Linked DNA regions of Caenorhabditis elegans. The protein of the gene in region 1 purifies or fractionates together with the protein of each later gene. This does not show direct contact. Each region holds a gene or a part of one and is shown in the gene's direction. Other genes may lie near its edges.

Region 1 (17,571 bases):
ATACCTGATCCATTTAAAACATCTGTCTTCCCTGAATCTACAGTATTTTGTGCTCGTCGGCCTGGTGCAAAGTATATTTCCATTTCAAAAACAACTGAAGAACAAGCAGAATTACCTATTCCGATTGTCCCAAGAATAGAAAGTGAGAAATGGCTGTGTTAGGGTTTAGTGATTAATGTGAACTTTGTACAGACCCTCCTCACTATTTCACAGTTTGTATGGCGACACTTTATGGAGATGAACCAAAGTTTCTGCAAATTGTAGATTTCATAGAATATTATAAACTACAAGGAGCTACATTTTTCCATATTTATTTGAGAAATGTTAGCAACTATGATAGAGTATTGTTGGATGATTATGTAAGAACTGGAGATATTGAAATAATAAAAATGCACGATCACTTTTGGAGAGATGATTTTATGTGGCACAATGCACAGATCAATGTGAGAATGAAAATGGCAGCCTTGATTTAAAATGAATAATTTTAGGATTGCCATCATCGTAGCAAATTTTTCTCAAAGTGGACAGCAGTTATTGACATCGATGAGAGAATTGAAATGAGATCAGAATCATTTAAAACTATCATCAGCCTCTTAGAGTATGTGATTATAACTTTCAAACGGAATTTTGATACTTTCAGTTCAATTCGTGATCCGAACATTGTAAATCTTCATTTTAAAGTTCAATGGGTGATAAAGGGCTCGGACACTCCTGCTGAATATGTAAACGAAAAAGAGGTAGGTCAAAACCTGAGTTTTCAAATTGTTTCCTAATAATTTACAATATTCCAGCTGATCGATGAAATTATATTCCATAAATACCAAAATACTTCACAAATTGGAGGTTTTTGGAATCAACCTAAATGTATCATTCGACCGGAGAAAATCGGAATGATGACAATCCATGCACCAATGACGACCTACTCTGGGTTACGAAGATCTCTTGTCAACGAAACTATTGGGGTTGTAAGGTATATTTTCAACTTTGGAAATATATTTCTTTTTAAATACGAATTGGTTCCAGGCACTATCGAAATGTAGAACAGCGAGTATTTGCCGGGGCACTTGAAAGAATGATGGTGCATGCTCCATTTAATATATATCCAATACCAAAATGGATTGATGAATTACTGACTGACGCGGTATGGTTTCATTCAAATATAATGATAATTTCTATCGAGTAAACATTTTTTTGAGTAGTTTTGATTATTGATAATTACGGAATTGGACTATATTAAAATTTTCACTACATTTTCTGTCTCACAACATAGCTCAAAAAAATGTTCTAAACTTTCAGATTTTGAATCGTGTGAAATGGGTTTACAACGTCGTCGATGTATCTTGCGATAAAAAATAGGCAATCTATCAAATTCATGGTGGAATCAATGCTCCGTGTTGGATAAAAAGAAAAGAAGATGGAACTAATTTAAGTGATGATGTTTGACATAATTTGGTAATATAATAAAATGAGTTTAACAATTATTTTTTTTTATTTAATTTGGACTAATAATGTTATGCATTTTATTTTCTCCAATCCCTAAAGCAAGTATAGTCTTAAGACCCTTTCTCACAAATCCCGGAACCGACGTCTGTATTCAATGTGGCGTTCATGTGCGCCATCTAGATTTTGCCTCGCTATCTACCTGAAATCTCCATTGCTGCTGCTTTGAATTCATACCACACTCATTTCGCTTCCCGGAAAAATGGGTCGAGATATCTCCAATACTCCGTTTGCGTGGCAGTCAAAAACGAACACACAAAACCGGTTTTTAAAATTTTTACTTCTTGTCATTATATTATCAGCTCTATCATTTTATATTGGGTTCCCAGATTCTAAAAGTGCATCTCCTGTATCAGGTAATTATTCGTTTATTTATAACGTTTTCCCTTTATTTTTGATAGAAAACAATATTGAAAAACTCATGTGTGAATATTCAATTTAGAGTTTTAGATAGTGATTTTTACAGATAAGCAACAATATTCTGATCAGCAAAAAGAAGTCGTCAATTCCAATTCTTCCAACACTGAATCTAAAAATGCTGGTTCTGAAAATCCGGGATCTTCTGAAACTTCAGCTGATCAAACGGCAAATGAACCGAAACCTGATAAAGTTTCTGACGATAATGCAGGATCAGCAGAAACTATAGAATCCAACGGTATCGAAAAAATCCCAAGTAACGATACCAGCTCTCCAATTTTTGATAGTGCAGTAGTACCATCTGGTCCAGCTCAAGAAGAGGACGAAGCTGTGGAAGAAGAGAAAAAAGTTGAGGAAGAGCATGAGAATCACGGAAACTCAGAGGATGCAGAAGAAAATAAATCAGGCGATGCTGTCACTACGACAACTGAACTTTCGATGGAAGATCGGGAAGGAAATGATGATCCAAAAGATGAATCAGAATCAGGTACCACTGTATCAAATAATGAAGAAACAACTACGACTGAAAATAAAGTTGCTGATGAAGCTCCAAGCAAGGAAGCGGAAAGCATCCAAGCTTCTCAAGACAGCGATCACGTTGAGAAAGAAGGTGAATCAGAAACAACGACTACGTCTGACGAATCTGCAACTACCACAGAGAAAAAAACAAACGGAGCAGAACTTGTAGAAAAATCCGAAACTGAAGAAAAGAATGGTGACAGTTCAACTAAGAGTCCTGAAGTAACTTCTGAAAGTTCTGTAGATACAACAACTATTGAAGAACAACTGAAAAGCAATAATGATGAAGAGAAGCAGGTAGATGGAAATGAGAAAGAATCAACATTCCGAGTACTCAACGAAGATCACAATGAAAATGAAGAAATTGGAGAAGGAACGAAAAAGGTGACAGAAGAGACTACTACTGTGGAGACAACTGAGAGGCAAAATGTTGATGATACCACGGAAAACCAAACTACCCAAACGACTAGCTCATCGTATAATGCGAAGGAAGAAAAGAAAAGCTACAGAAAGTGAGTAAGAGAGACACAATTAATTGGTAGTTTTTATTATTTCAGGTGTAAAGTTGAAGAGTGGAACGACGTAACTACAGTTGAAGTTCCAAATCAATCAGTTCACAAAAAATTACTTTTAGATATGGATTCTGAGGATGAAACTGAAAATATTCAGCATAAACCCAGAATAATTTCAGCGTTTGCTTACAAGGACTCAATTGCTGTAACACTTTCGGCTAAAAACTTTTCCAGGTACTGACTGTATCATAAAGTTTTTGGAATTTCAAAAAAATAAATTTCAGTGAAACTGTGTACTGTCGTTATCACGATTGCTATAAGAAAGGAATGGGTGACCCAAAGCCTTCATTTGTGTATCCTGAATCTACAGTGTACTGTCCTAGAAGAGCCGGAGCAAAATATATTTCAATAAGTGAAACACTTGACACCATAGGTCAATATCCTGTTCAAATCGTTAAACGACAGCGACCAGAGCACTTTTTGACAGTTTGCGTTCCTCTGAATGATGAAAATGTGAACATTCTTGAAGTGGCAAGATTCATTGAATACTACAAACTACAAGGAGCCACTTTCTTTAATGTGTATTATAAAAATATGAGTAAATATCAGACTATGTTACTGGAGGATTATACAAAAACTGGAGATGTTAAACTTGTGAAAGTTGGAAGTGAATCGACAGAACAAATTGAAGCAAATGTAAGTCTAGTAGTCTTTGAATTGTTTGACAAGCTAAACAGGATTTTTAGACTTTCGTGTTAAGCTTTAGTGCATGCAGTCCCAAGAATGCCTGCCTAAAAGCGTACCTCGTGCCTACTGGCAAACTACATATGAATCGGGTCATTTCCTAACTGAAATATCAATAATTCAATTTGAATGAGAAAATATCAAATCTACAATTAGTAAACCTTAAAAAACCAGACTACAAAAAAAGAGAAATTAGGCAGTAGGTAGGCATAAGATACCTAGGTACGTAGGTATACGTAGGCATCCAATTCAGCTGGCAATGTAATGGGAAAACTGTAAATTAAAATATTTATTATCAGGATTGCCAACACCGAAGCAAATATTTCTCAAAATGGACTGCATTTTTGGCGCTCAATGATCGCCTGGAAGTTGGAGATGGTGCAAAGGAAGGTACTACAATTGCTTCTAAGATAGAGTGAGCTCTCTTTTTAGGAATTTTAACAAAAATATAATTTCAGTTCTGTTGTGGATTTCAAGTTGAATGTTTTAAAGTACACATCTCCGGAGACTGATGAGAAAATTAGAATTGTTGTTCGTCCAGATAAAGTAAGTTTCTTTTTTATTTGAAATATTTTATTACACAATACAACTATTACGTGTTCTAGATTGTATCCATAAACCAACATCCAATTTTGGTGTATTCTGATGATCAACCCCAGGAGGCAATTGCAGAATCTTCTGGACTTTTGAAGTAAGCATCGACTTTTGTAATTCGGAAAAACAGATCGAATTTCAGAGAATTTATAAACTCCGACGACAAATGGACACCAGAAAACCTATCCGAGAATATCGAAGATAATGTTCCGCTCCGAGGTGAACTTCTGGAAAATGTGAGTTCTATTAAATGATAACATGTAGAAAATTCAATTTCAGATATTGTCACGTACGAAGTTGGTGTACAGGACAATGGAAGAGGATTCTAAGATGGATGAATAAAAGATGTATTTATATTATTTGTTAATTAAAAAATCGGACTGAAATTGTAATTTATTTTATTTTAAGAATTAAAGGTTGTTTTTAATTTTCAGATGACCAGAAAGTGGTCAATTAAGTTAATTGTTAAATTATTTATGACACATGATACTACTTAAGTGAATAACATATTGAATAAGAAAGACAATTCAGAAACCAGGAACTGGGAAAAATGATATATTGACAATGCGAAACACAGTTTTGATAAGTTGACTGTATATTCAACAAAAACCTAAATTGAATCTTCTTCTTCTTCCATATCAGCCAGCCTTTCTGGATTTTTCATGTCTGCTAGGAACTCTTCATCGGCCTAAAATGTAATGAATATGGTAATATGTTACTTATCAGTCAATTAAAAACTTACAGCGTCAATCGCTTTTTGATTTTCCAAGTAAAATTGGTAGACTTGGTCAGGAGTTTTTGTTCCGATAACATCAGCGATGTGTTCGAAATGAGCTCCATACATGTTGAAACCTATAAGTATGCAATTGAATTATAGGACGCATGAGGGGCAGCTTACATCTGATAACTTGTGATCTTTCCAGCTGTGTCCAATCTTGAGAGTAATGCACTCGATCATGAGAGAAAAGGTATGTGGGATTGAGATCAGGATCGTAGTAGGTTTGCTCAACTCGCTTTCTCAGATTTGTCATATCATTTTTCCACGATGCAACTAATTTAATGTCCACTTTACTCCCATGCTGACAAGCTTCAAACATTTTACGACGAGAATCATCAGCCAGAACTCTGAAAAGTAGACTGGTTAATAAGAATAATACAATTATCATAAACAAACTTACTCAATCTCTTCCATACAAACTGTCTTTTTATGCCTCCAGATGAGAGGCCCAGAACCATCAGACTCGCTTTGTATCTCAGTTTTCTGTGCAGATGGGCTCGATGTCTCTCCTACATTGCCATTTTCTGTACATGATGAAGATGGAATTTTGTCAACTGTAAATATCTAAATGAGAAAATTGAGAGAAGTCTATAAAAAACCATCAATTATATATTCCACACACTGATCTTTTACGATTATTCTTTTCTGGAAAGTGCTTCCGGTCGCCTGTGCGGATAGCTTGTCAAAATCCTTCATGTATTCCTTCATATCTGAAATTTGGTGCGTTTTAATAGAAGTCACAAGAATTTGATCACTAACTATCAGGACATGAAACTTGATTTCGGATACGTTCAGCTAATACCAGACGAAGACTTGTTGGACGAGGTACTCCCGTTTGGTTGAAATAAATTAAACAAGCACGGCATTCTGGACGATTCATCGCGTTATTGATCTGTAAAATATTTATTTAGATTGTTAGAAACGTAAATAAAATATTCCCATTCAAACCGATTTTATAAATTATTTTTTATTTCCAGTTGCATTGGAATTTTGTATTTGTGCAGAATGAATAAGTATCGCCAAAAAAAGCTGAAAAAAAACTGGTATTTTCAGATAAATCTTGTGAATTTTTAAATTTTAGCTCAAATTTTTAATTTAAAAAATGTGGGAAAACCCCGGTGCAATAGACAAATTCATGAAATTGCCTCTACTGCTTTGGAATAGTTTTGAACAGAAAACTGAAGATTATTCGATACTAAAAACATAAATTTGATTATTAAAACACAAACCTGCATATTTTCAGCTTTTTCTCCACAGTTGTCACACATTGACTCGAAAATAGCTTCAGGATATGGAGATGGAGTTTCAGTTTCTTCCGAACTACTACTATCATCACATTTCGAATTGACAAAGTTTAGATATTTTACACGTTTTTTTGATTCGTAATAAAACTGAACAATTGACTGAAGAGATCGATGACAGAGCTGAAAATAAAAAAAAATTGAGGTTGCAGGCTTAACAACAAAAAAAATAACTAACCGCTGATCTAATTTGTGAAAAATTTTTGCCGAAAATCTGGTAACAATTCTCAAAAAGAGTAATTTCCTGATCTGTCCACACATCTTTCAGTTCATTACGTCGTGCAACTTCTGCTATGGCCGAGTCAAAATTGAAGTTATTTATTGTTAGGATATACAGAGCCTGAAAAAACATCAAATGAGATTCCCATATAACTTTTTTTAAAAACTAACTCTATCAATAGGAATAAGATATCGATCAGATGATTCTCTGATGAAAGCTTCTAACTTTTCATCATCAATAGTTTCCGGAGTATTCCATATTAGTTCATCTTGATCATCTCTATCCTCATTACATGCTTTATCATTTAAATTAAGATCCGCGATTTTCGCTTGAAACTCTGTTCCTACGTTGATTTCCTTATTCGTGTTTGATAGTGGGCCTTTCACTGAATTTCGCTGAATATATAAGTCAAAATGTACGTTCAAACCTTTTGCGCCAGCATCAATTTCAGGTTCTGCGGCTGAGCTTTCTCCCGAAGAACTTCTTTTTCGTTTTCTTTTGGATTTGCTTGGTTTTGACTAGAAAAAAAAACATTATTTAAAAATTAATTTTTTATAAATGACACCAACCCGTTGTTGAGATGGGCGTGGAGAATCCACATCTACAAGTGAATCTTCTTCTAATAATGTATTTTCTTCGACTTCTGGCACATTTTCTTCTATGGTTTCCGCTGGAATATCAGTTTCGGGACCTGCTATTGTTGATTCTTCAGATGGAACATCTACTTTTTCGGATTGAGCAGATTCTCCATCATCGTCATACAAATCCATTTTCTACAAATTATCGATCGTTAATATGATATTAGGCGTTTGGATACTGAACGAGTATTACAAATGAAGGTCAGAAATGTGTCATTATATGCGGAAGATTCGGAGGAGGGTTCTATTGTTATTGACCGAAAATCGGGTAAATGCGCCCCAATGTACTACTGCGATATTTCAAACACCAAACGATGGGAGGAATTCTTCTTAATAAATCGAAGAAGAGAGCGATAAACAACTTTCTTCATTTTAAATTAAGGAAACATGTTTTTATTTTATTTTTAGAATTAATCTTAAATATATGCGCTTTTTAGGTTAAAAACAAAATAAAATATTATGAGCGTGTGGTTGATAAACAAACAATTTTGAACTTAAAACCGCATATTATTCTTTTCAAACAAAATTTACAGATGGAAATCAATACCGGAAATGCTGTTCTGAAAAAAAGTTACTCTCAAAACCAAAACAAGCTGCATGAAGCCTAAAAAAGTGATCATTTAAATAATTATTAAAATTTCTAGTTTAAAAATTTTTTATGAAGAGGGCGGGGCCTCGTAATTCCACACGCAACTCTGGCACGCGATTTTCGCAAGGTGCGCGCGCTTTTTTGGTTTTTCAATAATTATTTTATTTCCGTCAACACATTAGAAAAGTATTTTAAACTCTCATTAAATGCTAATCTACTAGTTTTAATTAAATTTTTCCATTTATTCCTATTTGAAACTCATCTTATCACCAAATCATGTACACATGAGCCATTCTATTTTCATTATTTTGAATTTTCCGTGCTGGACTATTCGTTCTGCTATAAATTTAATTGTTGCGACAACATTTTGAGTTTTTTACATTTAGAAACAACGTATAACATGTTTCTCCGCGTATTAATTTAATCCATCAATGCCCCGAAACTCCTGAATTACGAAATACATTTATTCATGACGTCTCGTAATAAATATTTGTCCGTTGTTCTTTTTCTCTAATTCTCATGCTCATATGACATCTCTCCTCCTCTCTGCTTTTAAAAATGGCCGTGGCCGTGTCTTTTCTCTCTCCCTCTTCAGTTACAACGAAACGTGATCGTGCGATAACAAGAAAACGAGGCGACGGCGTCTGGGACCACTGGTCCACATCGATTCTTCGTTTTTTCTTGCTCACTGCGCACTCAATAAGTTCTCTGCTTTTCCTCACTTTTTGGAATTTTCGTTTCTTCTTCGACTTTTCTTCGTTTCCGCGTATTTTTAGTGCACTTTTGTGCGTAAATCTCGAAAATTTTCAGAAAATGTCCGACAATGAAGCAAAAGCACGCCAAAAAATGGCAGAAGGACGGAAAAAATTGTCGGTAAGAATTTATTTTTTTAAATTTGCGATTATCGTACTTACTCTATTAGTATTGCACCTAATGGCTCCGCGTTGGATATATTGATTTTGAAGATATTCGTAAATCAATAACTACAAAAGAAAAAAATTATGTTAAATTTGAGCAATGGGATGCAAAGCTAATAGAGTAAAAACAATGTAATGGCAATGAATATAATATTATTTTTGCAGGGAGGCGGCGGTTTCTTAAACAGAATGTTTGGAGGTGGCGGTTCAAATGCCGAAGCTGCAGATCTCTTTATTCAGGTGAATACTTCTTCTGAAAATCAAGAAACTGTAACTGGGCAAAATGAGTTGCGAAATACTTTTGCCAACAATAGGCTCGACCAGGAAGATGACAACATGGATGAAGTGGATGATGAAGATTTTATTGATGAACATTCGTTTTGTGAAATAGAATGTAGTCATAATGGATGTGATTACATTGCTTCAAATCTTCTTGATTATGAGAATCACTATTCACAGCACTCGCTCCAATGTTTCGAATGTGGAATTGGTTTCGATACTGCTCATCGTTTGGAGGTTCATCATGACGAGCGACATAATCCATTTTTCGAAATTCAAGTTTCTCGTGAGCCTGGAATTAATCATTTTCGTTGTCTTCATCCAACATGCGAAATTCGATTTTCTAATAACCGAACACGTGATGAGCATTCACGGATTATTCACTTCATCCATGGTGAATCGTCTCGTCGGCGGAAGGCAGAAGACAATGGAGTCACATCAATCTTAAATGGTGCAATGAACAAAATGAGCTTGCTGGAAGGTGAAGATACCGGATGGTCTGGTGAAATGCAACATGGATTAGAAATGAAAACGAAACGAAGAGTAAAAAAAGCAGCTCGAAAAATGAATCTCGCCCCCGAAACGCACGGAATATGAATAAAATATTTTAAAGCCATTAAAATTAAACAGGTCGCAATAAAACTACTAAATATTTCAGTTTTTTTTTTAATATTTATGATGTTTTGTAATATTTTAGGGAGGAAATTTGTTCAAAATGGCAAAAAATTGGCAAGCCGCTGGTGACGCATTCCTGGAAGCCGCTGAATTCTACGCTAAAAATGGGGACTCCAAGCACGACTGCGCCACTCAGTATGCTGAAGCTGCGAATTGTTTCCGCAAGATTCAACCAGAGGTTCGAGATTTCGAGACTTGTTCGTAATTTAAGAATCTTGATTTTTCAGCGTGCTGTTCAATGTCTTGAAAAAACTTCGGAAATCTACACTGACATGGGTCGCTTCACAATGGCCGCAAAAAATCATGTAAGCATTGCTGAACTCTACGAAACTGAGCTTCCGGACAAAGAGCAATGTGTGAAGCACTACCAACAAGCCGCCGACTATTATAAAGGAGAAGAACAGAAAAGTAGTGCCAGCAAGTGCCTTGTCAAAGTAGCCATGTATTCTGCCGAATTGGAAAAGTATTCTCAAGCTATTGCTGTATTCGAAGAGATTGCATTCTTCGAAGCCGATCATTCAACCCTCAAGTATGCTGCTAAAGGACACTTCTTCCAAGCTCTTTTATGTCATTTGTGCATTGATCCAGTAAGCTCCCATCTGCATTAACACTGAAATCGTTTTATTTTTAAGATCAACACACAACAAGCACTTCAAAAGTACGAAAACGCGTCTCCATCGTTCACAGATTCGAGGGAATGTAAATTTGTAAAGGAACTATTGGCAGCTATTGATGAAAAGAAAGAAGAAACTTTTACCGAATGTGTGGCAAACTTTGACAAGATTAGCAGGTATCGTGTTTTGTCGAATCACTTTTCAATATTTAAAAAATCATCCAAATTTGAAAAAAAAATTCGTTAGAAATGCCAAGTTTGAAATTAGTTTGTAACTGCATCATATGTCTCTGTATACTTTTATCACAAAACTGAAACAAAAATTGATTGTTAAATTAGTGAGCTGGAAAAAGTCAAAAGTAGCTGATTTGAATTGTCGTGCAACTCGAGAATTCAAATTTAAGAGCTAGTATTTTTTAGCCAATTGAATTAATTACCAGTCTGATTTTTGTTCTGTAATATTAAAAAAAAAAACCTTCAAAATAAATATATACACCATTTTGCCAGTAATTTTCCATTCATGATGTCTTTAGATTCGAATTCCAGGAATATGAAAAAAATCACTATTAGGATAATGCTAATTTTCTTTTCACTTTTTTTCAATAGTTTTCTCATTGTTGGTATCATGCCATAAACATGCTTTGAAAAGGTCATGTGACTACATTCTTATCAATATTTTTCTTTCAGACTCGATAACTGGTCGACTTCTCTGCTTCTCAAGGTAAAGCGTACCATTGAAGGTGAAGATGAGGACGATTTGCGATAAATATCTTTTTTCCAATTTTTCCGATTCATGTACTTCCTAATCTTATTTATTCTCATTTAAATATCTCTCTCATTTCCATCCCCCATTTCCATAATTGCGTTGTGTTGTAAAAAAAAGCAGATGTAGAATTCTATTTTGACCAATATTCTTTCGCACCACCCAGTTTTTCTAACTGCGTAACTGTATTTTCAAATTCCAGCAATATTTAAATATTTACTATTCAAATCGCTTTCTGAAATTTCAATTCCTGTTTAAATGAAGTCTGAAAAATGTAAGTTCCTCAATTCTTTGATTTAAGGATGGCTTATTTGCTGCGACCGCATACTTCACTAGAAATTGAAGGTTTCGAGTTTAAAAAATGCCTTATTGTTTCAGTTTCCAATGGGAAATGAGGAGGAAGAAGATTCAAATGTAAGATATTGGAAAACGAAGTACGATCATCTTAATGAAGATTATGAAAGAATAAAAATACGGACGGAAAGTCTCGAAAATCGATTATTAGATGTTGTTGAAGAAAATGATAGAAAAGATAATGAAAATAGTGAGAGAATTAGACAATTAGATGAGGCGTTGAAAGAATCACAAAAACGAGTTGAACAGTTGGAAGCGGCTTGTGTAAGTGATTAGAAAAAAACATAGAATTAAAATGAGATTTCAAAAATTGCAGTTTCGATACAAAAACCAAGCCAAAGGGGAATTTGCAAGTTCTATCAAAAGTGAAGAGAAATTAGAAAAATCTCAACGGAAAGATGATGAAGACAATGAGTATTCAAACGAATTACAAAGTGTACAAGAACTGAGAACAATTAGTGGAGAAAGTGTATGTTTTGATTTTCTATAAAATAGAAACATTACAGGAACAAAAAGTTGCGTATTACGCAAAATATTTGACGCACAAAATATCTCGTAGCGAAAACTACAGTAATGTTTTATATGACTGCAGTAGCGCTTGTGTCGATTTACGGGCTCGATTATCGAAATTAATTAAAATAATTTATTTATCGATAGAATATAAAAATCAAGCAAAGCATTAGAAAATAATATAAAAAACGAAAACACTATTCCAAAAACAATTAATTCCAAAAATCGAGCTGGTAGATCGACAAAAGCGGTACAGTAGTCATTTACGAATTACTGTAGTAATATTGTTTATTTGTCACAAGAAAGAGCTACACCGGAAGATAGAAAATAAAGTAAAATAAAATGATGTAGTTTTCGCTACGAGATATTTTGCGCGTCAAATATATTGCGCATGAAATCTAAAATTAAAAAAAAAATTCTCCGAGTTTTATTGGCGCGCAAAAAGGTTTATAATTATCTTTTTTTTTTGAAATTTGCACTTTGAGAACTGATTTAAAAGTTTTATCAGGAAAACGAAAATAAAACGACAAAATTTGTTAAAAACTAAGTAATTTCGTTGGAATTCAAAGAAAATATAAAAAACAGCCACACAAAGCCGAAAAAAGCTACCATAAACTTTTTTGCGTGCCGAGACCCATATGGATTAATCCGTGTACCTTTAGAAGGAATGCCAAACTCTAGTGAAATAGAGTAAACATTAGAGTAATGCAAGTTAACTTCAATTTTCAGTCAAAATTTTGGTAACGGAATTAGAATATCGTAATACTCTAAATATTAAAAGTACTCTAAATATTTTTTTCATTACTTCATTTTAAAGTTGTTATAATTATTTCAGCCCCGTTCATCAATCGATGGAATCACCCGTTCTCTAGACTTTCACTCTGGTGATCATCTCATATGCGAATATCACAAATTACCGGTTCTCGCAAAAGGCGAAGGATTCATCTACGGGTTCCGTTGGCACATATTCAATAAAATTCACATCGTGTAACCCTATTTCATCTCTTGCATTGTAGCATTTTTTCTGTGATTTTGTTTTTCGGAATAAAGTTTATGTGTCCTTCAAAATCCGATACATGTCTTGGCAATGAATAATTCATTTCAAACTTGGCGACACCTTTATTGCTTCTCGTGCTCACGTGAACTGAGATGAAAAATTATTGGAAATGAGCTCTACAAAAAAGACTCGCCAAAGAACTAGGAAATAGTATATTGTTTGGTTTTTGACACAATTTCATCGCTGGTATTATTGTGTACACGATTGGGCTAATAAGCAAGAGGCGTGTTCCCATTTTTCGCTTTGGAGCTGCAGAACAAAAGGATGCGATAAATATATATTTAGAGATTCTCTTGTTGTTCCTCTCGATAACACACCGTTATTGCAGTTTTGTAGTTTATTAGTGGCAGGTAATTCAGAACAATAATTTTGATATGGTTACACCTATACACCTAGACCCGAAATTTTGAAAAACAATACAGTAGTACATAGATTTATAAATTATAACTATGTATATATTTTTTTAATTGTTCGGTAGCTTACCGAAATGAATCCAGTTAATTTCAATTATTTCTCAAAAATCTATAATTCTAGAATGTTCTGTAAAAATGAGTATTCGTCATTTGGTTTAACATTTTACCAACTTATCGGAAACCTCATAAAATAAACCATAATTTTGAAAGACATGTTTGTATTCGGGGTTTTTGTTTGACATAAATCATCACGAAACAATTTTTGCTTGCGTGGCAATATATTTCTTCGTACATCACAAAAATCATTTCCTCTAGAAAATCCAAGAACAGAAATCACATTTCTATGAGAATCATAGTCATAGATAATAGATAAACTATAAGTTTCAAACATACTTAATTTTGCGTATATATTTTTTGGAGCAAATGGCTGAACAAGCTCTAGATTATATTGTCAGGTCGGAATAAAAAAAGTTCTAAGGATAAATTAACTCTTTTCCAGTAAAACATTTAAAAAAATTCCAGTGTCTTCTCAGAAAATGTCGAGGGATATTTTCAATGTTTGCTTTGTTTTTTCAAACAACTCATTCATTCAATCAACAAGAGATGCAATCAATTACAGGCAAATTCTAGTAATTTCATCTTTAAATGATATTTCAGTGCCGTTGACTCAGGATGAACTAAATTAACGTTTTTGCAAGAGTTATCTCCTAACCATATCGGACGAAATTTTATAACATTAAAATTTTTTTTCACTAATTTGATATTATGCTCAAATCCGCCCGTATGTCTGACACAAATGAGAAAACCGCCTCGACTACCTTACAAGGCGACCCTCGCCTACCTTATGCCTACATCCGAGCCTACTTCTGAAGAACACGTTTTTTGCAGTTTTACCATTGAGCTTTTAGCAAGTTTATTGATATGAGGAAATGAGAAATTCTTAAAATTTGTAGGATCTTGTTAGTTTATGTTTTGGTTTACACTGGCAAAGCAAGTACCCAAAAACTGGAGATTATTTCAAAATGCAGATAGACGGTAGGGAAAACCCTGGCGCAAGATTTTACCCGCGAAAAAGTTTCGCTTCAAAAGTTAAATTATCATTATTGTTAGTTTTCCCTGTACGGCACACTGCTGCAAACATTTTTTTTTCTCGGTCGTCAATATAGATCAACTTCGTCACTCTCAGAGTTTTCAATCTACGAGCTAGTTTTTTTGTAAAATGTTTTGCATTGCATGCGAATAAAGGAAGTATTTTTCATCTCGTAAAACATCCAATATCCACGAAACTCTTAACGTCACTTTCAGATTTCTATCCAAAGAACATTCAATGCCCGTTTTCACTTCTAATTGTTTTACGTAAATTATATCAAATTATTCTCTGGCAAAACCATGTATTATATCTTTCAAGAACTCTAATTTGTCTTTTTGTGATGTCTGCTTTTATTCTTAATCATCTTCTTCCGCATTTCAAATTTCTCCGGTCACATCTTCTTCGATCAACTAACTTCGCAAGCCAATCATATTTATGACATCAAAAATAGATTTCACAAAAGAAAGGAAAAGCAAAACCTTTCTTTTTTCCTATTTATTCTTTCTTGTTAAAATAGAAAACGTGGGAAATTTGTGGGATAGATTGGAATAATTTGAAAAGGATCCTCAGAAATTGGCTCTCAAAGAATACCAATTTTTGCATGTGTGTTCGTCTGTTTTCATCTTTGGTGGCAAACGAATGAATCGTGTGAAAGCAAATGAGCTATGTCACATACCGTGAGATGAACCCACGTATAAATAGCAATTGTTTTTATTTTTGTGCCATTTATGTCATTGTCTCTATGTTAAATTTGGAATTCACATTTGACAATGATTTTCGATTCAATCGGAACAGATGACTCCATGTTATTTTTCAATGACCAGATAGACCCTAACTTTGGAAATTTTAATTTATAATTCATTTGGAAATGATTCCAATAATAAAAATTTTAAAAATTGATTAGCATTAGAGGAACAATATCTGTAAATTCCTGTAAATTCATTTGTTATGTTTTTCCCTCAAAAATAGGCACCTTGTGTAATTTTCTTTCTAGATCAAAAATCGGAATATCATATAAATTACTCCAATTCGAAAATTATTTTCTTTTTTTTCCCAAAATATTGGAATTTTTTCAAAGTGTTGATAGTTTATAATATTGCTGAATAGAAATTGCATCAACCATTTAGTAAATTAATATATCAAACCTACCGTATTTTCACTAATATTATTGCACCCCACTACTTCGCTTTGAATCTTGGTCAATTTCAAAAATATTATATCACTACATAATATATGACACAACGATAGAAAATAAATAATTATTTTCTTGTCAGTTGACACTTTTTGTATTGGACAAACAAAAAGGTTGTGAAAATATTTACTTGCAATACAATTTTAATTAGTTTGAAATACTTAACATGTTTGCCATAGATATATTCAAAGGTTCCATAAATTAATTTTCAAGCCCTTTCAAGTTCACACAGGTTCATTTTATGAGATTTGGTAACTTTGAAAAAAAATAATTCAGCTAGCGAGAACATATCAGACAACTTCCGGTTTAATAATATTCATAGAAACATAAAATATGAAATTGTGAAATCATGAGCTATAATTAAAACACGATGCTCTATAATCCTGAATTGATGTGTTCTCAAAATTAGTTCGACATAACGTCACCCTGAATTTTGCAAAATTGTGGACACCGTCGCCTCCACATTTTTCTTGTTCCAGACAAAATTTTCCATGACTGCCTAGTATTCTGTGGAATCATACTGGCAACTGTTATCAAATTATAAAAGGTTGAATGGCGTCGTGGGGAGTTTGTCAGGCTGTTGAAAGAATCTGGCACAGTGTTTCACTGATAAAAGTTACCCTAGAAGTTGTTAAGACTTCTCAAAAGGAACCAAAACTTATCCAAAAGTTTGAGTTCGAATGTTGAACTCGCAGCCTCCGAATGAAAATCACGGGATTACCTCGTATGGTACGAATAAAAAAGACATGAATATTGAAAATATATTTTTTGTAATGTTCTGAATTTCTCCGCTCACTTATAAAAAACGTAGCCTACTCAATCTGATCTATAACCGATACCTCCCATTTTCCGTAACTTGAGAATGTGATGACAACACCACGAACCACATGAAACATATTTGATCTACCACATCTTTTTATGTCCCACAAATTCAGGTGGTGTCCGTTTTCTCATTATCGTTTTATTTTTTCAATTTCTTTTCTTCATCTGTCATTTGTTCGTCGTTTCATTGATTAATAATTTATTGAAACATTCTCGAAAGCACCAAATCTATCTGAAACCAATTGTTTTCTGTGTGTCTTCATTCCAGCCAAATATAAGTTGGAATAAAGAAACAACTAAATAAGTGACATTAATTCAATGTCTCTACTATTTTCTTCATTTCTTCAATGGCACTGCATTCTCGTTTCTTTCAGCTTTTCTTATAAAAATGAGATAGGCTCAATATTACCCCCAGGCATCTTTCAAATTTCATTCAAAACCTTCTTTATCGTCATTTTTTTTTCATTTGTTTCAAGTTATCTGGCTATTTTAAGTACAACAGTTTCTCAAGTGGTTTGATCAGAGTTCATGTTTGTGCGTGTATTTTTGTTTTGTTTTATTTGCGGATTTTGTAGGTAATTGGATTTTTTGGATTTTTCAATTCATTTTTGGAAACCCATCAAGTTACTTTTGCAAATATAATAAAAATCTCATAATTTTGTTGAAAGCCATTTTATCCAAAAAAGATTTGTCACCATAATTCGATTCGAACTTTGAGCACTACTAAAAAATTTTCTACCGATTATGCTTAGTTTGCCGATTTATTGAAATATTTATGAGAAAACTATCTTACTCCAAAGTAGCCAATCCGTTCAAGAATTGGCAAAAAACCAAATTTCAAATTTATGCCAAATTAAAAACTTTTGAGTTTACATTCCAAAAAGTCTAGTGCTTTTATTGTATTCAAATTTTTCCGGTCATCGATTAAATACCAAGTTAAAAAATTTTGGGGCAGCTTTTCTTTAAGTGGTGGATGACATTTCGCTGTACGACCTACAATTTTCAGCAAAATTCTAATCATTACTCCGAACTCACCTGTCTCGAGGAACTGATAAATAAGGAAGTATTAAACGG
Region 2 (16,210 bases), on another chromosome or scaffold:
TAAGCTTCAAAAGAGAGTTTTTTTCTGATCTTTGTATTATACTTCCGCCAAACTTTCATAATTTTCTGTTAATCTTCGGCAACTTTCTGTCACATTTCGGTAGCTTTCTGCCAATTTTTGGCAATTTTATGTGGCGACTTTTATCAAACTTTTATAACTTTTTTTTCCAAAATTGACAATTTGCTGACAACAAATTTGCAAAAGTCATATCCATCGATGATACTAAAACTAAAAAACGAACATTTAGATTGTCTCCTCCATCATTAACACTCAAACTTCTTATGGAGATGAGCAGCAAGCTACCCAAACTCATCATGCCCAGCCACAAGTCCAACAACACCGTCCAGCTGCATCCTCTTCATCATCTTCCTCATCATCTTCCGCTTCTGCTGAACATCATCCAACCCACCAAGTTCGTGTCCCATCTGCCTCATCTTCCATCGAGTCTAACGAGCAACGTGTTGTCCCCGAATCAGTGATCGTGAAGGAGATCGTGCAGACGTTTGAGACAACTCCATACCCGAAACAAGTTGCTGTTGAAACCGCTGCTCCATTCGTCCCACAACCAGTTCGTCCAGCTCCACAGCCGGTTCAGCCATCCTTCCAACCAGCTCCAGCAGTTCAGCAACAAGTCCACCAAGTCTTCACTACTCCAATTCCACACCGTCCATTTGTTCCAGAAACTTTTGTAGAGCAAGTTGAGGCTGGTCAAGCCAATCTTGTCCCGGCTCCAGTTCAGCCACAGCCATACGTGGCTCCAGCTCACATTACTCAAGAAATTCAACCAGCTCCACAGCCGTATGTTGCTCCAGTTGCCCCAGTTGCTCAAGAGATCCACACAATCCAACCCATCCAGCCTGCACCAATCCATCCAGCACCACTTCAGCCAGCACATGTTGTTCAAGAGACTGCCCATGTTGCACCAGAGACTGTAAGGAAATTTTTATTTGTTTCGAAAAGGTTAAAATGAATTTTTGCAGAAAGTCGTGGCTGAGGAAGATAGAATTGAAGTTTCTGGAGGATCGGATTATGACCAGCCATCTAACATTCCAGCTAATGAGCAAGCTACTGTTAATGAGCTTCTTGCTACTGTAAGTTGAAATTTAGAATCTTCTGGACCAACATTATTTAAAATGTATTTCCTTGCAGCTCGACAACACCACCCCAGCTAGCAACTTGGACTTCAACCAAGTCACCGTTGAACCAAACACCAACCAAAAACCAGCCATCATCCAAACCGAAGGAGACGACTACGATACTGCCCCACTGAACGAGGATCGTAAAGATGTTCCAACTGCTGAGCCATCTCACAACGTTGCTCCATCCAATCCAGAGCCCGTCGCAGTAATCCCAGAGGAGACTGCTCCAATCATTCCACAGCCAAAGCCAAAACCACAGGTTCATCTCCAGCCAGTCGCACCAGCCGTCCGTGTGGAAGTCACCTCGTCTGCACCGGCTCCAACTATTGCATTTGAACTCCCAATTGAAGTTCACGAGGTTGTCACACCACAGGTCCCATTAAATCCAGAACCAGCTGTCATTCAAACAATTACTGAACAACCAGTTGCTGAGGTACACGTTGAGGTTCTGCCAACATCTGCTGCTCCAGTATCCCAGTTCTTCGAGAACATAACCTCCAAGGAAGATAAGGAGACATCCCAGGTAAGTCTAGATTTTCTCGGTTCGCATGGTTCAGTTTCACATTTCACAGCCCTCGGAGACCGTCGAGACAGCACCAGCCAACGGAAACGACTATGATGAAGAGAAATCGGTGGAGAACAAGGTAAGCTCTAAGTTTCATCCAATCCACTCACACATTCACTTTCTAGGTTTCCACGGAAACCGACGCTGTGCCAAATCTTGGAGAATACGGAAGCAAGTTCGCAAAGGTATGTTGTGTTACGCATGAAACATCACACCAAACACGTTTGTGACGTAGAAAGCTGTCAAAATTTTACACCTAGCTTTTTGAACGGTTCAATTTCCGGGTCACACTGGAGATGAAACGTGAAGAAAACTTGATAGGTTAGAAGGAACTGAGACTTTAAACTTTAAGTTGTTGTGTTCAAAAATTCGCAAATTGGAGCTGTACACTTTTAGAAATACTTTTTTTGTGAAAATGAACTCCGAACCCGCCATGATCTCCAAAAATTGCGGGATTTTTCTGCGTCAAATCCTAGTAACAACTTTTGCAATTTTTGGAGGTCAAACGGTGAGGGGTCTGAACTAAATTCTATGTAGTACTGCAAAATTTTCTTAAGATATAGTTTTTTGACGACATGTGAAGTTTTTAAGTGGACGATTTTCAGAATTTTTAAAAATTATTTTTAGAAAGAAATTTCTGAAAATGTTGAGAAAATTTCCGATATTTTGGAAAAAAAATCAGATTTTCTAAAAGGTGTACCTACTTTTGACTACCCTTAAAAGCATAAATAAAATTAAAAAAATAGATTTTCGAGTAATTTAAGAAGGGTATATACTAAAATTGGACTAAAATTTCACAAGTGTCGAACAAAATATTAACTATATCTGGACTGGTAACATATCTTTTAACAGGTGCAAGGAGCTGAAACCAAGCAAGTGAGCGAGCCGATTCAAATCGAAACTATTGAGAATGAAAATCCTTATGGAAGAAAATACTGGATCTTCTAGGCCATGACTTTTTAATTTTTATTTTTTTTCTGTTTTCTCCAAATTTGACGTTTCTCATCTCATCTCAATGTGCAAATAGGCATAACTTCCAATTTGAAAAAAAGAAAAACTTCCAAAGTTTAATAATCAAATTTTTGTATATTTTTGTGTCCCCTCATCCCTGTCTGATTCTTAATAAATATAACTTATTTTCTTTTCCCATTTCCCTTCTTTCAACACGAAAAGCCTAAAGATAAATATCACGGAGGGAGGAAGAGGAGAAGCCAGATTTGCCCAAGGTCATCTAAGGTATGATAGGCGTCGCCAATAAAGAAACTCGTCGCGAAATTGCGTAATGAAGGATTTTGAGGGCGGTAGGCGCCCGCCGTTGCATAAAAGAAGCTGCCCGGCCTGAGATCCCACTGAGCGATAAAACGAATTTCATTGCGCGGTAGGGGAAACCGGGAAGCCGCCACCGCTTGCGTAATTGCCTGAATTTTTGCATCGTCCTTTCAGCTTAACAGGCATGTTTATAGAGTCACTTGGACTTTTTGTTTTTCGTGAGAAACCGGAAGAGTGGCCCCCTGGTGTTTGATTCATGACGTGGCAGATTGTTATGTAATTTTGATTTGATGATATGGCTATTTTTAAGATCAGAACTAGATTTGTGTAGAACAAAGTCCATAGATATTGATGTGATATGTTTATTTGCAAATCATGATTAACTATGAACTACACCAGTGTAAATGTGCTCTACCGATCAGGTGCTGGTGTAGGTGTTTCAATAATAAATCGAGCCGTTTTGAAAGGCATCAAGACTTTGCATAGCAGTCAATTTCCCGGTAGTTGACTGACAGTGATTATCTTGAGTTCGATAAACCGCATTTGCATGACTATAGGAAAAAGTTTAGCTTCATTGCGGAAAAATCATTTATCAGTTGTTGTCAGATTGCCCGGTCAAAAATTTCGTGGTACAAAGTGGTATCCATATAAAGGCGCTCTACTGATAATTTGGGTTTAGCCAGGTTTGGGCGCGTTTTAAGCTTTGGACCAACAAATTCAGCATTTATTTTCGTACATTTTTTATATGCATCACAAAAATGTTGGGCCATCCGTTTTTGAGAAAAAAACGCGCCCAAACGTCCAAGTATACGGTAGACAAATTGCGCACAGGACCCCACTTCTCGGGCCGTATCTACTCTCTCCACAGTAAACGTCGTATGACGACTACCTCATTTGAGACGGAGGTCAAATAGCAAAGGGATCAGTTGAATAGCCACCTTGATCAGACCGACAGAATTTCAATCACCGGTAAGTTGGCTGCTTTAGAAATTATGAACAATTTGTTTCAAAAATATGTACTTATCTAGTAGTCTATCTACTGGTATACTTTACTTTTGATAAAGTATCTCAGTGTTATCACTTATTTCAACATCATATCACATTTGCCGTGAGGCCTTGTAAACTTGCGAGCCTAGGTCATTTACATTTACATTTGCACCTGAAGAATATCATCTAAAAAGTCTTCAACATTTCTACAATGATTAATCCTTTGTTTAGAATATGAAAATTCCGAGATGCGTAATCAAGTTGGTATTAGAAATATTCGGTTTAGAGGAGACTAGACACTTCTTACACTGAACGAAGTCGGGGAACAAGTTTTATTGGAAATTTGTCTTCGCTGACACAACACACTGACAACATTATAGCAGAGGTTATTGATAAAATTTTCATAGATATTTTAGTGAGGAGCTGTCAACTTTGAGCGTAAGATGTATTGCACCTTCTGAAATGAGAAGGTCTGCAGCCCAGGCACTAGCTAGATATAGCAAGATGTAGAGTTCAGTTACAAAGTGGAACAGATCATGTTCCTCTGTCAGATCAGCTCTGATATATCTCCCCGGGCTATTCTGAATCTTTATACCTTTGCCACAGCCTCCTCCTCCTCCTTTCCTCATTTTTTCCATCGTGTCACCTCATTACACAGCAGATATTGGAAATGAAAGCGAAAAAGCTTATGCCTGATCGGGACGGTTGGCAATTAATCAAGTGAATCGCTTATCAATCGAAACCTTCTTCAGACCAACGGCGCGCGCTGGCGCAACAATCGGTTACGCAATAGATTAGGATACATAGAGCGGTAATGAAACATATTGGGTGATTTGCATGAAGACCGAGTGCGCCGACTGACTGGATCGGATAAATGAGTCGGGCGGGAATGGAGGAAAGATGTGAGGAAATGGGATATGTCATTATGGGCATGGATTACATAATTGAGAAATAGGCATGCAAAGATGAAGAAAACAGAAGTCAGAATTTGGATTCATACAAGAGTTTGAAGATCCTGGAGGTGCAGGTAAAGTCACATGATGGATCCTTGCACAGCTTCGGCGAAAACCGAGTAGGATCTTTCGAGGTTGGAAGACATCGGGAATAGAATGGTACTAGGGGATGAGCTAGGAATGTAGTACCACCGTTGAAATACTTGCATCTCTACCTTCACCCAGCAAGTCTCTGAAATCCGTATCACGATAAAGAGGATCATTGCATGATTGGAAGGAAGTCCCTCATACAGCTGAGCTCTAGCTCAGTCCAGAGTACATGCATTTCCAACACCTGACAGCAAACGTTTTTTTGTTGGACATAGAGATCAGGCAGGCAAAGGATTCGTAGTCCTCAACTGGCTCAAAATCACACCTCTTGGGCCAAGCTCAATAACACTGTTCTCTTTGAAGATCTACCATCTTTCCATGTCTAAAACACAAGCTCTAGTGGAAAATGTATCTAGCTTACAATTTCCTAATCTGCTCATTTTTTGCAATCAAAATTGTCTTAATAGGCAATCTCACTGTAAAATCTGCCATCCCCACACACTTACACACACTATCGGTTTTTCTATCCATATCTTCTCACTTTGTGTTGTCACTCTTCAAAAATATACCGGTCCTTGTTCAAGGTGGCACTGGTCACCCGTATGTGGCCGGAGGGGGGTGTTGCTGCTTACCCCCAATAGTACACCACATTCCGAGGCGATAGATCGTTGCATCGTCGGAGACACGTCTGGGTTCGATTTCAGAAAACTGTTTTACGCAGCGATCTGCCCTCGGCTGGGCATGTTGCGCCAGCGCCTTTCTCTTTCACGCAGCCGGAGGAGGAGGTGGTGGGAGGAGTGACAAGACGTTGGGTTGGAGTGGGGGCACTACTTAAGCTGCCACCGAATCTTTCATTTTACGGTACTACACTTACACTCCAACACATATTGTGTCGTCGTCATGGCTAGTGTGAGTTCATTTAAATTACTTTGGCTTTCATATTTCTCATTATCTTTCTCACACTCACTTTCTCCTTGTTTCAGTTCTTTTTGATCGCACTTCTCGCTACCCCAGCTCTCGGATGCATCGGAGGCCTCGGTGGAGGAGGTGGTGGCTGCTGCCAACCATCTCAACCAGCTTGCGCTAACCCATGTGGTGGAGCTTCTGCTGCTGCGTAAGTTCTTTCTTCTGCTCTTTTTCATTATTTTGCATTCAATATTTTCTAGCTATGCTGCACCAGCCGCTGGATACCCAAGACCTCCAATCGGATATGGAGCACCACCCCCACCACCACCACCACCAGCTTTCGGAGGACTCGGTGGAGGAGCCGCCTACCCAGGAGCCGGAGCCGGAGGACAATATGATACCGGAGTTCACGGAGGAGCTCAAGGAGGATACGCCGGAGCCCAAGGAGCTCAAGGAGGATATGCCGGAGCCCAAGGAGCTCAAGGAGGATACGCCGGAGCCCAGGGAGCTCAAGGAGGATACGCCGGAGCCGCCCAAGGAGCCCAAGGAGGATACGCTGGAGCCGTCCAAGGAGGACAAATCGCTTCCCAAGGATACGCTGGAGCCGGAGCCCCAGTGAGCGCCGGAGGATCTTACAACCAAGGACCAGCCGCTATCAACGGAGGATACACCTCTCAACAACAAGTCGGAGCTATCGCCCCAGCCGCCGGATACGGACAAGGACCAGCTGCCGTTCATGTTGACGCCACCGCCGCCACATCCGAGGGAGCCATCTCTCAACAAGGAGGATCCTCTGCCGCTGGAGGATACGGAGAGGAAGCCGGAGCCACTTCAGTCGTCGGAGAGCAAACCAACACTGTTGTCCAGACCGGAGAGACCGCCGAGGAAGGATACGGAGCCCAAGGAGGAGTCGCCGGAGAGACCGAGATCGTCGCTGTCGCCACCTCTGCCCCAGCCCCAGCCCCAACATACGAGAACGTTCAACCAGCTCCAGTTGCCCCAACCACCACTGTCGAAGAGACCCACGTCGAGGAGCCAGCTCCAGCTGTCCCAGAAGCCACCGTTGTCGAGGAGTCCCACTTCGAGGAGCCAGCCCCAGCCCCAGCTGCCACTTCTGCTCCATTCGTCGAGCCAGTTACTGAGGTGAATACTGAAGAATATGAAGAGGAAGTTGTTGAGCCAGCTGAGCCACAAGTTGTTGAGCCACAAGTTGTCGAGCCAGTTCCACAGCCACACGTTGAACCAGTTCAACCAGTTCAACCAGCACCAGAAGTCACCGAGCCACAAGTTGTTGAGCCACAAGTCGTTGTTGAGCCAGCACCACAACCACAAGTTATTCCACAAGCACCAGAGACCTTCGTCGAGACCTCTGCCCCAGTTGCACCACAAGTCACTGAGTACCCAATTCCAGCAGCACAAACTGAGGCTCCAGAAGAGGTATACGAAGAGGAGACCGACGCACCAGTCGCCGCACCAGTCCAACCAACGGAATCCTCTTTCGAAGAGGTGACCGCTGAGGAGACACCTGTACCAGCACCAGCACCTTATGTTCCACCAGCACCAATTTTCACTGTATGTTCTGAAAACTAACACTTTTTTGTCTTCTTCCATTTCTTTTCCCTAACTAAAGATCCTTGTTTCAGGAGTCAAAGCCAGGATACGAGCAGACCGCCCCAGCTGTTGAGACCAAGGAGGAATCCTACGACGAGCAGGAGGCCGAGGAGACCCATGTCGAGCCAGAGCAGCCAGCCGTCGTCGGTGGAGGATACTCGGCTACCGAGGCCCCAGCCAAGCCAGATGGTGGATACCGCACCCACTAAATTTCTTTTTAGTTCCCCCATAGGTGCCCCATTGCTCTGATCTCGTTTTGATTGTTCGCCAACAACCACCCTCGACAAATCTGCTCAAAACATCACAAAATTCTCGTCTTTTTTTTGCCTCGTTCTTTCCTTTGTCTGTATATACTGTTGCCTTATTTTATTTCTCTTATATATATTTTATTATGTCATTTTCGTGAGTAGTAGACAACAATTCACTGACTGAAATTGTCTAATTTCAAATAAAATGGTGATTTTAGAAAGTTTAATTTTTATTTGTTCAGGGAAAACAAGAATCCGGGTCTCGACACGGCCGAAAATTACTGAATCGAAACTGCAGAGATGAGTTTGAAACTGCAGAGATGAGTTATGTGCCTTTAAAAATACAGTAGTTTTCGGATTTTTAATTTTTCCTGTCAAAAAAATATTTTTACAGGTTTTTGAGTTAAAAAAAAACGAAAAAATCGTAATTTTTGAGGCGAAAATACGGTACCCGGTCTCGACATGACTATCTTTGTTAAACACAGAAAGGTGTACTCCTTTAAAGGAGTACTGTAGTTTGAAACTTTTGGTGCAGCGGAATTTTCATCGATTTTTTGCAGTTTTACTCGCGATTTGCTAAATAATATTTATGTGTGTTTTTTTTTATAATTGACCAGCCGGTGTCGTTCGAGCCTACGGCTCGACCTACTCCGACTGGCTTAAAATAAAGTTCGAAAAAAAAAATAAATGAATGAACTTGATTTTTTTTTTGAAAATGAAAACTTTCAAACTAACGTGAATTTTGCGTGTTGGCATAGCCTACATTGGACGGTAGGAAACTCTACTTTATATTTTTTTATAATTGATACACCTATTTTTAAGAAAAATATGAGAAACAATGAAAATTGTGCAACAACAGAAGTTTGAGACTACAGTACTCTTTAAAGGCGCACACCTTTTTGCAATTAACAACAAATTGTCGTGTCGAGACCGGATACCGTATTTTGCCACAAAAATGACAAACCTTCGGGTCGCGGTATTAGTTTCTCCCATGGTATTAAAAATTTCATTTTTCAGTTTCTCAAAAATTGAGCGGATTTAAAATCGAAGAAATATACCGTAGTATTTAAAGGCGCACGCTTTTTTTGAGGCATTAAACAAATTATCTGGCGTGTCGAGACCAAATGTAGCTGAATAAGTTTTACTATTTTATAAATTCAAATTTCAATGAATAATTTCAAAAGAAAAACATTTCCTTCACGTTTTCTTTTTTATCGAGAAAAAACCATGCCATAAAAACTCTTTTCAACATTTAAATTTTTTCGAATCAGTTTCAAAAATCGATTTTTCGAAGTGATCTGAACATTTTTCATTAAAAGGAGTTTTGGCGCGTAAGTTTTATTCTTTAAACTTTTTATTTAAACGAAAATTTAATTTTCCACCGATTATTGTTGAAATTTAGGAGTTTTACATTGTAAATGCCAATTGTCTTTCCATTATGTTTCGTCTCTACTTAAAATTTGTGATATTTGTCGAATTTTGCATGCCTTTAATTGTTATTTAAAGCTTAAGCGTATTTTCTCCATTCCGCACGGAAAGCGCGCCTTTCATCCTTACTGACGCATTTCCCGACGCTGGCGCACTTCTCGACCATCTGCCACTTTGGACACGTCAGCGCTTTCCGGATTCACTTTAAATGAAGCTTTCCTGGTCCCGAATCGCCGATTTTCAGAATTAGAATTTTTTGATTATCACACTGCGTCTCTTTTCTCTTTTCGGGTACACGTGGAAGCGCGTGTCGTTTTGTCTCTGTGTAGCACGCTACACAGAATGTCTCCGCCTCGTTATTTTCTCTCTTTTCCTCTTTTCTCACCCCCATTTAACCACTAAAAGTTCCCACTTTTGATCTATTTCAGTTCATTCATTTATTCTCTAAAAAATGCCTGATTTACCCGATTTTTAAGTGATTTAATTAATAAATTAATTGCATAATTTTCCAGATTCAATATGTCGTTTTTATGGGACTGGTTTAATGGAGTGCTCAACATGCTGGGTTTGTAAAACTGAATTTTACCATCATAAAACCTTTTATTTACAGGATTGGCCAACAAAAAGGGAAAATTGGTATTTTTGGGACTAGACAACGCTGGAAAGACTACACTGCTTCACATGCTTAAAGATGATCGTATTGCTCAACACGTTCCCACTCTTCACCCAAGTAATTATCGCTTTTTATTGATTTTAAAAGCAATTCCGGTGTAGTTCAGCCTGTTAAAGGAAGGAATCTTACTTTAAAAAAATGATATCTTTCTCTTCTTTACAGCTGATTGACCGGTTTTGCTTATCATCTGTCAATTGCTAAAGATGATGACGCAAAAAACTAGTTGTGAGAATTATTGAATTGATTATTTTTCAGCATCTGAGCAAATGTCACTCGGAGGAATTTCGTTTACCACATACGATCTCGGTGGTCACGCGCAAGGTATTCACTCGTTTTTTCGGTTTTTTAAACTAATTTTCTTCATTTTTCCAGCACGACGAGTCTGGAAAGATTACTTCCCTGCCGTGGACGCCGTCGTCTTCTTGATCGATGTGGCCGACGCCGAAAGAATGCAAGAAAGCCGTGTTGAGCTCGAATCGCTGCTCCAGGACGAGCAGATCGCTTCCGTTCCAGTGCTTATTCTCGGAAACAAGATTGACAAGCCAGGAGCATTGAGTGAGGATCAGCTCAAGTGGCAACTCAACATTCAACATATGTGCACCGGAAAGGGTTGGTTTTTGATTGGAAATTATCGCTTGAATTTATTTAAAAAACGAAAATCTTTATAGGAGACGTTTCCCGCAACGAAATGGCTTCTCGGCCGATGGAAGTGTTCATGTGCTCTGTTCTTCAGCGACAAGGATACGGAGAAGGAATCCGTTGGCTTGGACAGTACCTGTAAACAGATCAGTTCTTGAACTCTTCTTCTTCTGCTCACTCCTTTTTTATTCCATTCTCGAAAAAAGCACCATTCTCTTACATATTGCGCCGCCAACATTTCCCATAGATTTGTTGTACGTACTTGTCATTTTCCTTCGTTTTTTCTTTTGGGATCCTTGGGATCCTCATCATTAAACTTCTCATGCCTTCGACGTTTGTGCATAAAAAAGCAAGCCGCAATCCCATTTTATTTTATTTATAAATTTTGACTTATACGGACTTGTAAAAAATTCACGGCGTCCTCATTGTTTTTCTATTCTCCACAAAAATTTATTCAAACCTTTTCCTCATCTATTCCGTATTTATCACATCACTATCATTCAAACATCCCCATTTTTCTTCTCGTCCCACTTCATTTCCCCCTCAGATTTTCTAATTTTTTATTTCGGTTAGTTCTATGTGAATGAAACAGCTTCGGAATGTTGCAGTTCGAAGTTTTCCCAGAAATTATTCTCTTATCACGCTACTCACAAGAAAAAAAACGTCACGCCATATAGTTGTTTTCTTTGTGGCGAGCTTTAACTATAGTTATAACTGAAACTGAAAAACTTGGAATTTGAAAAGAAAATTGTTGATCGGAGTACATTTGATCACAAGGGCCTGTAGTCAGGCGACATGGTCAAACATTCCATTATGTGGTTTGTGTTCCAAGTGGTCAAACGGACACATTTCTATTTCAGGTGCGGAAAAAAAATTAATTTCAGATCAGATAATTGGCTATTTTTCCAGAAGAACCTTTTCGTCGTAGTCTCACAGATGGCTTCTGCAGTACATTTGAGTGCACACAGCTCACTCCAATTCTCTATTCCTCCACTCTCTCGACGCAATGGTGTTCGTGTGCACCCACTACGAATATCCAATAATCAGGGAAGGGAACCTCCTTTATTCATAGAATTTTAAATAAATATTTTGAATTTATCATCATCTATATTTTACTTGTAAACTCTATTAAAATAGTTTTATCGTCAAAATACTTTGAATTCGATAATTTTGCGGGAATTGTTTTTTTCAATTTTCAGATTAAAAAGCGATAAAAACCATGTCATTATTCTCGTCACTTGTTCATAATGTACGGGGGCAGGTAAAAATATATTAAAATATTAATTTGAGCAGAAAATTTGAACTTTTAGCTAATCGCTCGAATAATATCGTTCGCTATAAATATGTATCTTTTGCGGAGGATCAATAACGATGTTTTAGGATTAGTGAATGTGAGGTGAGCGGTTTTTTAAATTTAATTTTACAGAAAAAAAGTGAAATTTATTCTAATTCATTTAATATTTAATAAATTTTGTGGGCGTGGCTTTAAGGCAAGCCTGGCACACAATTTTGCAAGGTGGCCGCATGGTTTTCTCACTATAATTTTACGCCAAATTTTAATTAATTTCAGATTCAAATGATGTTTAAAAGCTTAAAAAAGCTTGTTTTATATTTTTTATTGAAATAATATTTCACAAAATATTAAATTTTTGCAGATTAACCCTTCTCTACTCGTCAATCCTCTTTCTCACTCGAGAACCACTCCGGAAAGCTGAAATAATTCGCGGATCTTTGCCGAAATTCATCAATTTACTCTGGCTCAGCCCTATTATTTCTACAGTTATTAGCGTAGTCTGTGTATATCTTTGGTATGCATTCTCGTCGACTTCGGATGAAGTTTCATGGAGTGTTCTTCTCTCTTTTCCGATCTCTGCGATTATTGAATCCATTGCCGAACCGTTTTCTGTGATTTCTTTGAGGTAAACTTTAGATTTTAAATTTCGGCTTTTAAAAACTATAATTACTATGTGGTGAAATTTCAGATTAGAATCAAAATGCGGTTCTCTCGCCCAACACTTTGCAATCGGACAAGGAATGCTGATCTGTGTGAAGAGAATTTTCGTGCTCGCCGGATTATTCATGTTTCCCGGAATGTACCATTTGGAATTGTTCGCCTATGCTCAATATATCGGAGCCATCGCGTATCTTCTCTTCAATTTTGTCGCCTTCTACATTTACATCCGGAACAAGTCGATTCCTGAACTTGAGCAATTCTCAACGTTCTCGGATCTTTTCCCGAAATTCAGCGAAGGAATCGATCGAGATTCGATTCATGCAGTATTCACAATGTTTTCTCACTCGATTTTGAAGCAATTGTTGACCGATGGAAGTGCTTATGTGATGACATTCACTGAGCTTCTTAGCTTGAAGGATCAAGGTGATTTTTGCCGAATTATAGCCAAAATGAGCTCACAGAAACTGAGTTTTATAGCGAGAAGCTCACAATTTCCGGAAAAAAAACCCTGATTTTAGCTAAAATCTCCTATATTTCCGTTGATTAAGGCATATTTAAAGTCGATAGGTGGTTAATATAATTATATCAACGAAAAAAACGGGAGAGAAGCGACAAAAATGAGCTGAATAAGACAATAATCCAATAAAAATCGATTTATGGCCGCTCTGACAAGGAAATTAAAATAAAACCGCCATTTTTAAAGTCGCGTTTCAAAATTCAGTCTTTTAGTTGCCTTTTTTGAGTAAAAAAGCAAAAAATCGATATCACCAAGAATTTTGCGTCAAAAATACCGCATTGGGTCTCGACACGACAATTTATTATTAAATGCGAAAGTGAGTGCGCCTTTGAAGAGTACTGTAATTTCAAATGTGTGTTGTTGCAGATTTTTCATTGATTTTTTAAATAATTTTCACAAGTTCGTAGTTACAGTACTCTTTTATTTTCTTTAAAAATTGTCGTGTCGAGACGGGGAACCGTAAAAATCACAAAATTAATAATAGGTTGCTTTTACGAAAAGTACATTGTATTCCCAATTTTTTAAAAATTTGATTTTCCAGCTGTATACGACGCCGTTGAACGAGTCGGAAGCATCATCGTCCGGACGATTCTATCACCAATCGATGAGAACTGCAATGCCTATTTCTCCAACACAATTCGTAAAGAAAGCAGCGTTTTCAACAAGAATACAGATAATCACGATGATTTGGTGGATACTTTATCCAAAGTACTCCATGTAGTCGGAGTAATTGGATTCGTCGCTTGCACATTCGGAATTCCGTATTCACCAGTTGTAATTTCACTTTATGGAGGAAAATTACTTTCTGAAAATGGAGGAGCACTTCTACTTTCTCTGTACTCTGGCTATATTCTTGTGACGGCGATTAATGGAATAACTGAGGGATTCGCAATGGCAAGTATGGATAATCGACAGATTTTCACTCACGGAAAATTCCTTTTTGTCACGTCGATCATTCATCTTATTATTAATTATGTGCTTTGTGTGTACATGAATTCTGCAGGATTTATTGTGGCGAATATTATTAACATGTCTGTTAGGATTATTTATAAGTGAGTTTTATTTCAAAACTTCAATTCAATATTTATTATATAACTCCAATTTTCAGCTGGCGTACCATTCGCGAATATCTCGGCGATAAATGTCCATCCTTCACAGAAGTACTCCCAACTGGTCAGACATCAATATTCCTGGGAGTTTCACTACTTGCAACTTCCTTTACATATTTGGTAATTCACAAAATAATCGAAGCCCTGTTGTAATAATTCTAAATTTCCAGTTATTCGCTACAACACCTGGCCTATCCTATACACTTGCCCACATCGCTATCGGAGCTGTGTGCCTGATTCTCACCGCCCAAGACACTGCTCAACATGATTCCGTCTTCACTGTGATTGTCGATTCATTGGCAAAAAAGCACAGAGATTGATTTATTGGGACTTTAAATTTTCATTTTTTTTGTACCTCGTCACTTTTTATATCGGGTCTTTTATTTATTTCAATATTTTGGTTTCTCGAATTGAATTTCTGAAGATAAAAATATTAATTTGAATGGCAATAATAATTTTTAAGCAAATCGGCAATTTTTCGGAAATGAAAATTTCCTGCAAATCGGAAAATTTCCGAAATTCAAAATTTTCGGCAAATCGGCAAACCGGCAATTTTCCGAAGATCAAAGTTTTCTGCAAATCGGCAATTTTCCGAAAATCAAAATTTCCGGCAAATCGGCACATTGCCGGAAATAAAAATTTTCGGCAAACCGGCAAACCGGCAATTTTCCGAAAATCAAAATTTCCGGCAAATCGGCACATTGCCGGAAACGAAAATTTTCGGCAAATCGGCACATAGCCGGAAGTTAAAATTTTCGGCAAATCGGCAAACCGGCAATTTTCCGAAAATCAAAATTTCCGGCAAAACGGCAAACCGGCAATTTTCCGAAGATCACAATTTTCGGCAAACCTGAAAATTGCCGGAGATCAAAATTCCCGGCAAAACGGCAAACCGGCAATTTTCTGGAAATCAAAATTTCCGGCAAATCGGCAAACCGGCAATTTTCCGAAAATCTAAATTTTCGGCAAATCGGCAAATTGCCGGAAATGAACATTCTCGGCAAATCGGCACATAGCCGGAAGTTAAAATTTTCGGCAAATTGGCAAACCGGCTATTTTCCGAAAATCAAAATTTTCGTCAAATCGGCAAACCGGCAATTTTCCGAAAATCAAAATTTTCGGCAAATCGGCACATTGCCGGAAATGAAAATTTTCGGCAAATCGGCACATAGCCGGAAGTTAAAATTTTCGGCAAATCGGCAAACCGGCAATTTTCCGAAAATCAAAATTTCCGGCAAAACGGCAAACCGGCAATTTTCCGAAGATCACAATTTTCGGCAAACCTGAAAATTGCCGGAGATCAAAATTCCCGGCAAAACGGCAAACCGGCAATTTTCTGGAAATCAAAATTTCCGGCAAATCGGCAAACCGGCAATTTTCCGAAAATCAAAATTTCCGGCAAAACGGCAAACCGGCAATTTTCCGAAGATCACAATTTTCGGCAAACCTGAAAATTGCCGGAGATCAAAATTCCCGGCAAAACGGCAAACCGGCAATTTTCTGGAAATCAAAATTTCCGGCAAATCGGCACATTGCCGGGAATGAAAATTTTCGGCAAATCGGCAAACCGGCAATTTTCCGAAAATCTAAATTTTCGGCAAATCGGCAAATTGCCGGAAATGAACATTCTCGGCAAATCGGCACATAGCCGGAAGTTAAAATTTTCGGCAAATCGGCAAACCGGCTATTTTCCGAAAATCAAAATTTTCGGCAAATCGGCAAACCGGCAATTTTCCGAAAATCAAAATTTTCGGCAAATCGGCAAACCGGCAATTTTCCGAAAATCAAAATTTTCGGCAAATCGGCAAACCGGCTGTTTGCCGATGCCGCCCTTCCTTGTTTGATACATTTGAAAAAACTAAAAAGTGCTCCATCTGAAATTTGATTTAAAAGTTTTCAAAAAAAAATATAAATAAATAAATCCAATTTTCTTAGTGCTGATTGTTTATATAATCTCACACAACAGCTGGCACCCGCAATTTGACAAAAACTTGACAGAACTCTTTGCACCTGTTTTAATATTATTTTTCTTGCTGCTGCCGGTGGTGGTAGCTGCGGCTCCTGAAGAGATGTTTCTTTTTTCTTTTCACTCCGTTTTTCTCTTTTTTCGCCCCGCTCTTGC

The links.
Region 2: the proteins of snap-1 (region 1) and sar-1 fractionate together in Caenorhabditis elegans (co-fractionation; one large-scale study listed by BioGRID). This does not show direct contact.

What each region holds. Positions count from the first base shown.
Region 1 is NC_003283.11:8,121,995-8,139,565, forward strand, and holds snap-1 (Alpha-soluble NSF attachment protein), read left to right. Parts: upstream 1-8,622; 5' UTR 8,623-8,625; coding exon 8,626-8,685; intron 8,686-8,894; coding exon 8,895-8,969; coding exon of another isoform or gene 8,970-9,605; exon of another isoform or gene 9,606-9,705; coding exon 9,706-9,861; intron 9,862-9,910; coding exon 9,911-10,270; intron 10,271-10,315; coding exon 10,316-10,473; intron 10,474-10,983; coding exon 10,984-11,062; 3' UTR 11,063-11,335; downstream 11,336-17,571. Other genes in the region: gtnt-17 (Glycosyltransferase family 92 protein), read left to right, coding at 1-142, 193-443, 489-598, 641-737, 792-970, 1,024-1,141, 1,297-1,356; gtnt-16 (Glycosyltransferase family 92 protein), read left to right, coding at 1,703-1,856, 1,967-2,948, 2,994-3,182, 3,233-3,644, 3,992-4,107, 4,151-4,238, 4,298-4,383, 4,429-4,522 and 1 more; REST corepressor spr-1, read right to left, coding at 4,897-4,974, 5,029-5,138, 5,185-5,411, 5,465-5,618, 5,664-5,774, 5,824-5,956, 6,294-6,488, 6,544-6,705 and 3 more; D1014.4 (t-SNARE coiled-coil homology domain-containing protein), read left to right, coding at 11,444-11,677, 11,730-11,882, 12,759-12,914.
Region 2 is NC_003282.8:4,506,818-4,523,027, reverse strand, and holds sar-1 (Small COPII coat GTPase SAR1), read left to right. Parts: upstream 1-9,708; 5' UTR 9,709-9,715; coding exon 9,716-9,761; intron 9,762-9,806; coding exon 9,807-9,926; intron 9,927-10,124; coding exon 10,125-10,190; intron 10,191-10,241; coding exon 10,242-10,478; intron 10,479-10,537; coding exon 10,538-10,650; 3' UTR 10,651-11,135; downstream 11,136-16,210. Other genes in the region: ZK180.6 (Prion-like-(Q/N-rich)-domain-bearing protein), read left to right, coding at 248-931, 981-1,091, 1,150-1,662, 1,712-1,783, 1,830-1,889, 2,557-2,652; ZK180.5 (Prion-like-(Q/N-rich)-domain-bearing protein), read left to right, coding at 5,904-5,912, 5,987-6,117, 6,170-7,481, 7,553-7,729; ZK180.8 (uncharacterized protein), read left to right, coding at 11,445-11,588; rfth-1 (Man(5)GlcNAc(2)-PP-dolichol translocation protein RFT1), read left to right, coding at 11,728-11,769, 11,819-11,904, 12,164-12,427, 12,491-12,885, 13,521-14,031, 14,088-14,208, 14,259-14,408. UniProt on the Caenorhabditis elegans protein: Small GTPase that cycles between an active GTP-bound and an inactive GDP-bound state and mainly functions in vesicle-mediated endoplasmic reticulum (ER) to Golgi transport.